Nothobranchius furzeri: one gene and its partner. Each later gene encodes a partner of the first gene's protein in a complex. Links are inferred from orthologs where the notes say so. Each region holds a gene or a part of one and is shown on either strand. Other genes may lie near its edges.

Region 1 (3,017 bases):
CATTTTCGCTAACAGCTTCTTGCATTTGGATAAGCTGTTATGTTTTGGTTTAGAGTTCATCTTTTTTGTGGTGTAGATCTTCCTTTTATTACATTTAGAGTGTTGTGGGTTTCGGTTTAGTTTAAAATATCACCTTGAGTCTGGTTTAACCACCCAGTTTAGAGTTTGGACCTTTGGAGATCCTTATTTTGGTCCAGAACCCAGTAATCTTTGCCCAGTGGGACATCCCTACTTATTTGTACTTTTGTTTTAATTCCCCACAGGCAGAATTAGTTTTATTATTCCCAACCTGTGGATGGAGAGATTTATGTTTTTTTGTAGTTGTAAATAAACCTGATCATCATTTTAACTTTTAAATCCCGTTATTGTCCCTTCCTTTTTGCACACGAGCCAAACTCCTCAGGAAGAGTCGTAACACCACTCCCCTCCCGCACATAAGTGACCAAAACAAAGCAGCATGGAGACAGTCCGGCTCCAGCCACCTCTCAGGCAGCAGCCTGCACTCCCAAGTTCTACACGTCACCAGAACATAACCAATAAACACAGTGTTATACAAAATGGAAGGTCTGTAGTGTTTATTCTCTTACAGTAACAATTTATCAACTTTTTGGAGGAATTTGAGATTTTCTTGTTTTTATTAATCGTGCAATAAAAAAATAATCGTTAGATTAATCATCTTAATAGCAATTAGAATAGTCGACTAATCGATAAAATAATCGTCATAATAATCGTTTAAAAAATAATCGTTTATCCCCAGCCCTAAAAATTATACATGTGAGTAACAAGATACCTGTATTATTTACCATTTAAAGAGTTCAGCATCAGCTTTTCAGACCTGGTGGCATGTAGTGTTTGATACAATACTTTAGATCATTTCTAAATGATAATTTGAACTCTGAACCTTTAAGTGCACTGACGTGAAAGCTGACTGCAAACTTTTCACAGATAGAAAACAAAAGGAGCCGACTCTGAATCTGTTCCTACTGGCTGAGCTGAATCCGCGGGACAGCGGTCATGAGAAATGGGACCCACCCCTCTGCACAGTCTGGTCAACAAACCAGGAGTGGAAGTCTTCTTCAAACGCTTTGACCTCATACAGCTGTAAATCTCCACTTCCCAGCAGGTACAGAGAGGCTCCATCTGCAGGGGAAAGGGGAACCGTGTCACTTTCACTTCTGCAGGTCACAAGGGTAGAAATATGTCAAAGCTCTTGGGAAACATGCAGAGACTTTGCTGAGATATGACAACTGTGTAGCTGAAGCTCGCGCTTACACATGCACTTTACTGATCAGTTCATCATAAAGTCAACATGCACAGAGTAAGGTGGTAAAAACTGAGTCTCAGGCAAGTTTTACTACCGATTACCAAAAAGAAGTGACATTTGATTTTGTACTTTGTCAAAGTTTGACTTCAAACTAGCAAAGGTACCATATTTTCCACACCATAAGGCGCTAATAAAAACCTTTGATCTTCCCCTGAACCGGCAGTGCGCCTTTTAATACGGATGTGCCTTTTATACATGTATTAAGGTAACTCTGGCCCAGCGCGGTACCCCCCAGCGCCGTCCTTATCACCCTCACCAAATAAAAGGTGTGGCACTGCTCCACACAGCTATACCGGTAACCAGCCATGGCACCAGCAAAGAGACACGCTTATGAGGCAGAGTTCAAGCTCAAAGCCATCGCTCACGCCGTTGAGCATGGAAACATAGCAGCAGCGAGAATACAAGATTAACGAGTCGATGGTCCGCAAGTGGAGAAAGCTGGAAGACCAGCTGCTGCAGGTGAAGAAAACACAGCGTAGCTTCAGAGGCAACAAGGCAAGATGGCCGCTGCTTGAAGACCGAGTTGAGCAGTGGGTCGCAGAGCAGCGAGTGGCGAGCAGAAGCGTCTCATTCGTCTCAAAGCTGCAGCATTAGCACGAGAGATGGACATTGGGGACTTCATAGGAGGCCCTTCCTGGTGTTTTCGCTTCATGCGGAGGCGAGCGCTTTCTATCCGCACCAGAACTACCGTCTCGCAGCAACTACCCGCCGACTACGCTGAGAAGCTAGAGTTGTTCCGCTCCTATTGCACCAAGAAGATGGCAGACAAAAACATCCAGCCCCAGCACATCACCAACATGGACGAGGTCCTGCTTACCTTCGACATCCTGGTGAACTGGACCGTGGAGAAAATGGGGACCAGCACGGTGTCTGTGCGGACGACCGGCCACGAGAAGTCGTGCTCACCTGCCAGGCTGATGGCCAGAAGCTGCCGCTGATGGTCATCTTAAAGCGGAAAACTTTACCCAAAGAAAAGTTTCCCGCCGGCGTGATCATCAAGGCGAACCCGAAGGGCTGGATGGATGAGGACATGATGGCGGCGTGGCGGCGGGAGGTGTACCCCAAAAGACAGGACGGCTTCTTCCACACTTATCCAGGCATGCTGATCTGCGACTCCGTGCAGGCCCATCTCACCGACGCCGTTAAAATCCAGGTGAAGAGAGTTTAAATCTTCATTCTTGCTGCTAAAAGCACCCGTGCATTAAATTGGGACATTTATGTTACTTTAATAAGGAGAAATTTATTTTTTAGTATAGACAATGAGTGGAGTAACGTTTGACTTTGATCTAAGTGCCCAATTTGCCTCAACTGTGCCGACCGGGACGCTCGTTTGCTTTGCGGGGTGCGTGTTTTGATCCAGTGAGCCTTATGTGACGACCAAACCTTTAACTAGGACGCTGATTGGCTGTGCGCCGTATAATCAGGTGAGCCTTATGGTGCGGAAAATACGGTATTTTAAAAAGGTTAGGGGAACATCAGTTTGTAGTGCACTAGAGATCAAGTCTAATCAGTTTAAAAGAGAAACTGAAAACACATTTTATGCTCCTGCAGGGGTGGACCTTTAAAGCGCCCGAGCGCCAATGGCGCTAAATTTTCTCGTCGGGCGGTAAATACTTGACGACTTACCGCCTGGGTGGCGCCCAAGCCTTATTTGTCATTTACACACCGGCTTTCACCTACATCATGGCCCCGC
Region 2 (4,052 bases), on another chromosome or scaffold:
AGTGGGGGTGTATTACTGTTGCAGCTGTAGGACGTATGTAACAAACATGTGGTACTTCTTAGAAAACAGGACAATCTCTTAAAATTAAGATAAATTTAGTAATAAAAAAGCAGTTTATACTCAACAAGTGTTGACAGTTTTCATCCAGATCTCTAATTCTATTTTTCCACTTCAGTTTGAATTAAAATGAAGGGATCCGCTGTTAGTTCTGTTTTACCAAGTGTGACCCTTTTCTAGTGCACACACACGTGCACGTTTCTGCCTTATTTATATAATGTAAAGTTGGACTGTGCCTGAAGAACTTTTTGAAATGTGTACAGTGAAGTGTGAGCAGAATTTAGCATACAAGCCAATGACTTTGAAAGTGATCAAAGGCGGTGAATATTTAGTGTTTTTTTGGTTGTGAACGTCCAAAATCTAATTGTTGTGAATAAAAATAATCTTGTGAAGGTGGCACAAATGTGGCTGTTTTCCATTAAATCACACAATATACCAGCCAGTAATGTTTTGTCTTTATTTACAATTTTTTTTAATAAAATGTGAGCAATAATTGGTACAATATAATAGCTGGCTCTGTTATCGTTGGTTAGCTGGCAGCAAGATGTGTACCACTTGGAAAAAGCTGAAGAGACATCAGCCCTAACAGGGTGTTTTATCAGTCTGTTCATTCAGCTACCGGCCCGTGGATCTGTGAAAAAACAAAACAGTATCATCCAACTTCAAATCCATACACCAGCTTGTGTTTTCTATAGTTCTTAGTTCCTAATGAAGTTTGTGTTTAGGCAAATAGGAACAAGTAAATGTTGCTCCTACACGTGCTCACATTCCAGCTTTACCTTATATGTCAGAGATTATAAGTAAAGTCACAGCTGTTCAGTTTAATCTTTCCATCATCCAGATAAAGTTAGACTAATTAACTTACAGCATCTGCAAGCTCAGGCCAGTCCATGGCCATCACCACAGTATCATCAGAGGTTGGAGGAGTTTCCAGGTTCCAGTAGGTGAGTTTGTTAAACACAGATGATACCCTCACTGTCCTGTCCTGGGGACACACACACACACACACACACACGTATAAATTAACATGTAGAAATGACAGAAAATCGCCTTAAGTGTTTGATGTTTACCTCCTGGTCAGAGCCATGCTTGTTGATCTCCTTCAACACCAGGCCTGTGTAGCCCTGTGGACAGCTGATTTCCTGTCCTTTCAGACCACGTCCTCTGAATGACACCGTCTTCTCTGTAATTAGAAAACTAAATGATAAACTGTTGCTGGACTAACTAAACTACTGAAAGTTAGATACTTGTAGTAAGCGACACGGACCGCCAGTAGAGACATGTTACAAGTAACAGATGTGAGACTGTGTACCTTGTTTACGGTCTTTTGTAGTAGAAGTAAAATATTCTGAGACCCGGGCAGGTCCATTATACTCAATCTCACAGGGCATGAGGTGGACCTGGGCCTGTTTGACCTGCCCCAGTGAAGTCACATCAAGATGTGTTACACTGGTGTTACAGCTCATCCTGTAGCCAGAACACAAGAGACTGAACAGATTACACTAAAAGAGTCATTTTAGACATTTTCCAAACAAGATTTTTTTCTGCTGCAGAGGTCTCTTCCTTTTTCTCTGAGCAACACAAAGCCTAACATGACTTAATCTGAGCGTAGATCACAACTTGGTGGTTGGCTATTTGCTTTTCTATTGATATAATTGTTATTTATACGCATTAGATGGCTTCATCTCTTCTTTTAGGTGTAAATAAATGCAGAACCTTCATCTAAAAATAATATATTTACATTTCTATTATTACTTTTGTCCTTTTTAGGAAAACACGCCATACTCCCTTGTATTTATCTCTTTATTTCCTTTTTCCTCTACTGTCAAACTATATTTATGTCCTGTTTTCATTATAACTACTATCACCATCGTCATCTAAACACAAATGTTTTCTGCACTCACTAGAACTGACATTAAAAACAGTTTGTTAGACAAAGTAAATAATAGTTACTGAAGTTATTTAGAGGGAAATTCAAAAGCTGAAAATAAATTTAAATGCTGCATCACATAAACACTTCCCTACTACAGGATTAAAACTACATTATTACCCAGGACTTTTTGTTCTGCTCAAACACTATTATACATGTAGTTAAACCGTTTAAACTAACGTTGGATAAATAAATCTCCACGTTTACCTTTCTACTGTTTTCCAAACGCGTAACGGAACTACTTCCGCATAATGTGAGACACTCGTTTGATTGGATAAAATTTTTCTTCTTCTACTTCAAGGACATTTTGGCGAGGTGTTTCCGTTCTGTCGCAGATTATCGCCCCCTGTTGGTGAGGTTTAACTTGGCTTTGACGTTCAACAATGAAAAATAAGAAATTTCTTTTTTACTTTTTACTTAGAAATGTGTGAGACTTGGAGATCACATTAGTGGGTTTATTTTTGTTCATTACGTATACGAGTAATTCGTGTTTTATCTAAATAAATAAAAACCTTTGAGCTAAAATACCCTAGATAAAATATTTCATTATTTGGACCTGAACTGCAACCAGTGGGACAGGGAACATTGAAGTGCTAGGAGGAATATTGAGTTAATAAACTAAAAGCTAGTTTTAGTTTTTAAAAAAATATGTTTTGTCACTGCCAATATTATAATTTATACAATTTAAGGTTGACTTAAAAAAAATGAGTGTCAAACAGTATGATAATCTTGCTGAATCATCTTCTTGGGGGGAAAAAATCACCAAAATGTTTGCTAAATTGGTCAAATACATATTGTCACCACCCAGAGAGGGTGTAACTAAATATTAAACATGCTTAGTGCCGAGTAGTTCAGGGTAATGTTTTTGTTTTTGTTTGTTTTTTGCAAGGACAGCAAACATCCCTGCTAAAGCAGCATTTCATGAAAGAAAACTTTAAAATGGCAAATGTGAACTACACAGAAAACATTTACAATTTATTTACCTAATCATCTGCTGATCAGTAAAGTAGCCACATGTGAATTTATGATGAACCAAGCAGGTGAGGAGCTGCCAATCAGAGTCAGAAATAGAAAACGTATAAAATAATCTATTAAAGTCCTATTCACAAGATTAAAAAAAGCTTTATGAAACAGTAAGAGGGCAAACTAACACAAACCCCCCAAAAGGATGAACTCAAATGTAAACTTTAATAATCAAACATATACATTTCATTAATTTAATCATTATATCATTGTTCTACACTGTAGGGGTCTCATCTACACTGTAGGGGTCTCATGGAGACACTGGAGAAAAAACTGACATGTATATATATGCTCTAGTTGGAAGAGTCCCCTGTCCTTGTGGGCTGGACTAAACCGGTCCCGCTTTGGGCTCAGAGGCACTGAGGATGAGATCCTTGAAGCCTGTTGTTTGTGTTTCACCAGAGAGGACTGAGAAACGTCGGGTCTGATTTCCCAACAGCTCATATTTGGTCCAAAAGAAACCAGAGGTGAGTTCATCTCATAAGGACAGAAGGAAATGTAATTCAGATGTATGCTTTTTTAACTTTTGGTTTAAAAATACTTAGTTTACTTTTTAAAAACTTCTCCCTGCCTATGAGTTCATCTTAAAAATGTTGATTTTCAATGGAAATGAAATCTAACATGAGTGACAACAACTAGAACCTAAATAACTCGACCTTACTGTAACCGACCTTTTATCCACCTTTTAAAACCTGACTAATTTCTCCCTCTTTGAGCAGAAACCTTACCGTCAGGCTGATACTGTAGAGTCAAATGGTATGAAAGATTCTCCCTCATGACTGTGATTGGACTCAGTGGTTTGCATCTCTCTGAATGTACAGGATTGTTCTCTTACTTTGTAACGTCGTCTGTCTGCTTTTTATAAGTCTGTACATAATTTCTCGTCTTTAAATTCCAAGAAAATCTCAACCCAAGAACCTTCCAGCCGTCAGTTTTAATTATTGTGAAATCTAACTGTTACTTTTTGGCTGTTTTACTCCTTTCATTCATTTCTTTTCCATAATTTAAATCAATGTGTTCAAATGTTCCGCTCCTCTGATTT

What was found.
Region 2: the proteins of rnaseh2b (region 1) and rnaseh2c are in contact, whole or in part, in a crystal structure (PDB 3PUF), measured with the Homo sapiens proteins. The link is inferred for Nothobranchius furzeri from reciprocal best matches to the Homo sapiens genes RNASEH2B and RNASEH2C. Residues at the interface, in NP_078846.2 of Homo sapiens: Arg14, Gln15, His16, Val17, Phe18, Leu19, Val20, Ser21, Glu22, Leu24, Leu35, Met36, Phe37, Val38, Lys39, Leu52, Glu62, Lys64, Phe66, Glu68, His70, His71, Ser72, Trp73, Phe74, Ile75, Asn76, Gln77, Ser78, Val79; in NP_115569.2 of Homo sapiens: Ile9, His12, Arg13, Val14, His15, Leu16, Ser18, Ala27, Thr28, Leu29, His30, Leu31, Leu32, Pro33, Cys34, Glu35, Val36, Ala37, Val38, Asp39, Gly40, Pro41, Ala42, Pro43, Val44, Gly45, Phe48, Phe63, Val75, Pro77.

What each region holds. Positions count from the first base shown.
Region 1 is NC_091754.1:26,824,112-26,827,128, reverse strand, and holds part of rnaseh2b (ribonuclease H2 subunit B), read right to left. Parts: intron 1,141-3,017; coding exon 1,033-1,140; intron 1-1,032. UniProt on the Homo sapiens protein: Non catalytic subunit of RNase H2, an endonuclease that specifically degrades the RNA of RNA:DNA hybrids. Participates in DNA replication, possibly by mediating the removal of lagging-strand Okazaki fragment RNA primers during DNA replication.
Region 2 is NC_091741.1:88,186,285-88,190,336, reverse strand, and holds rnaseh2c (ribonuclease H2 subunit C), read right to left. Parts: upstream 2,598-4,052; 5' UTR 2,195-2,597; intron 1,525-2,194; 5' UTR 1,524-1,524; coding exon 1,370-1,523; intron 1,241-1,369; coding exon 1,128-1,240; intron 1,043-1,127; coding exon 923-1,042; intron 689-922; coding exon 665-688; 3' UTR 501-664; downstream 1-500.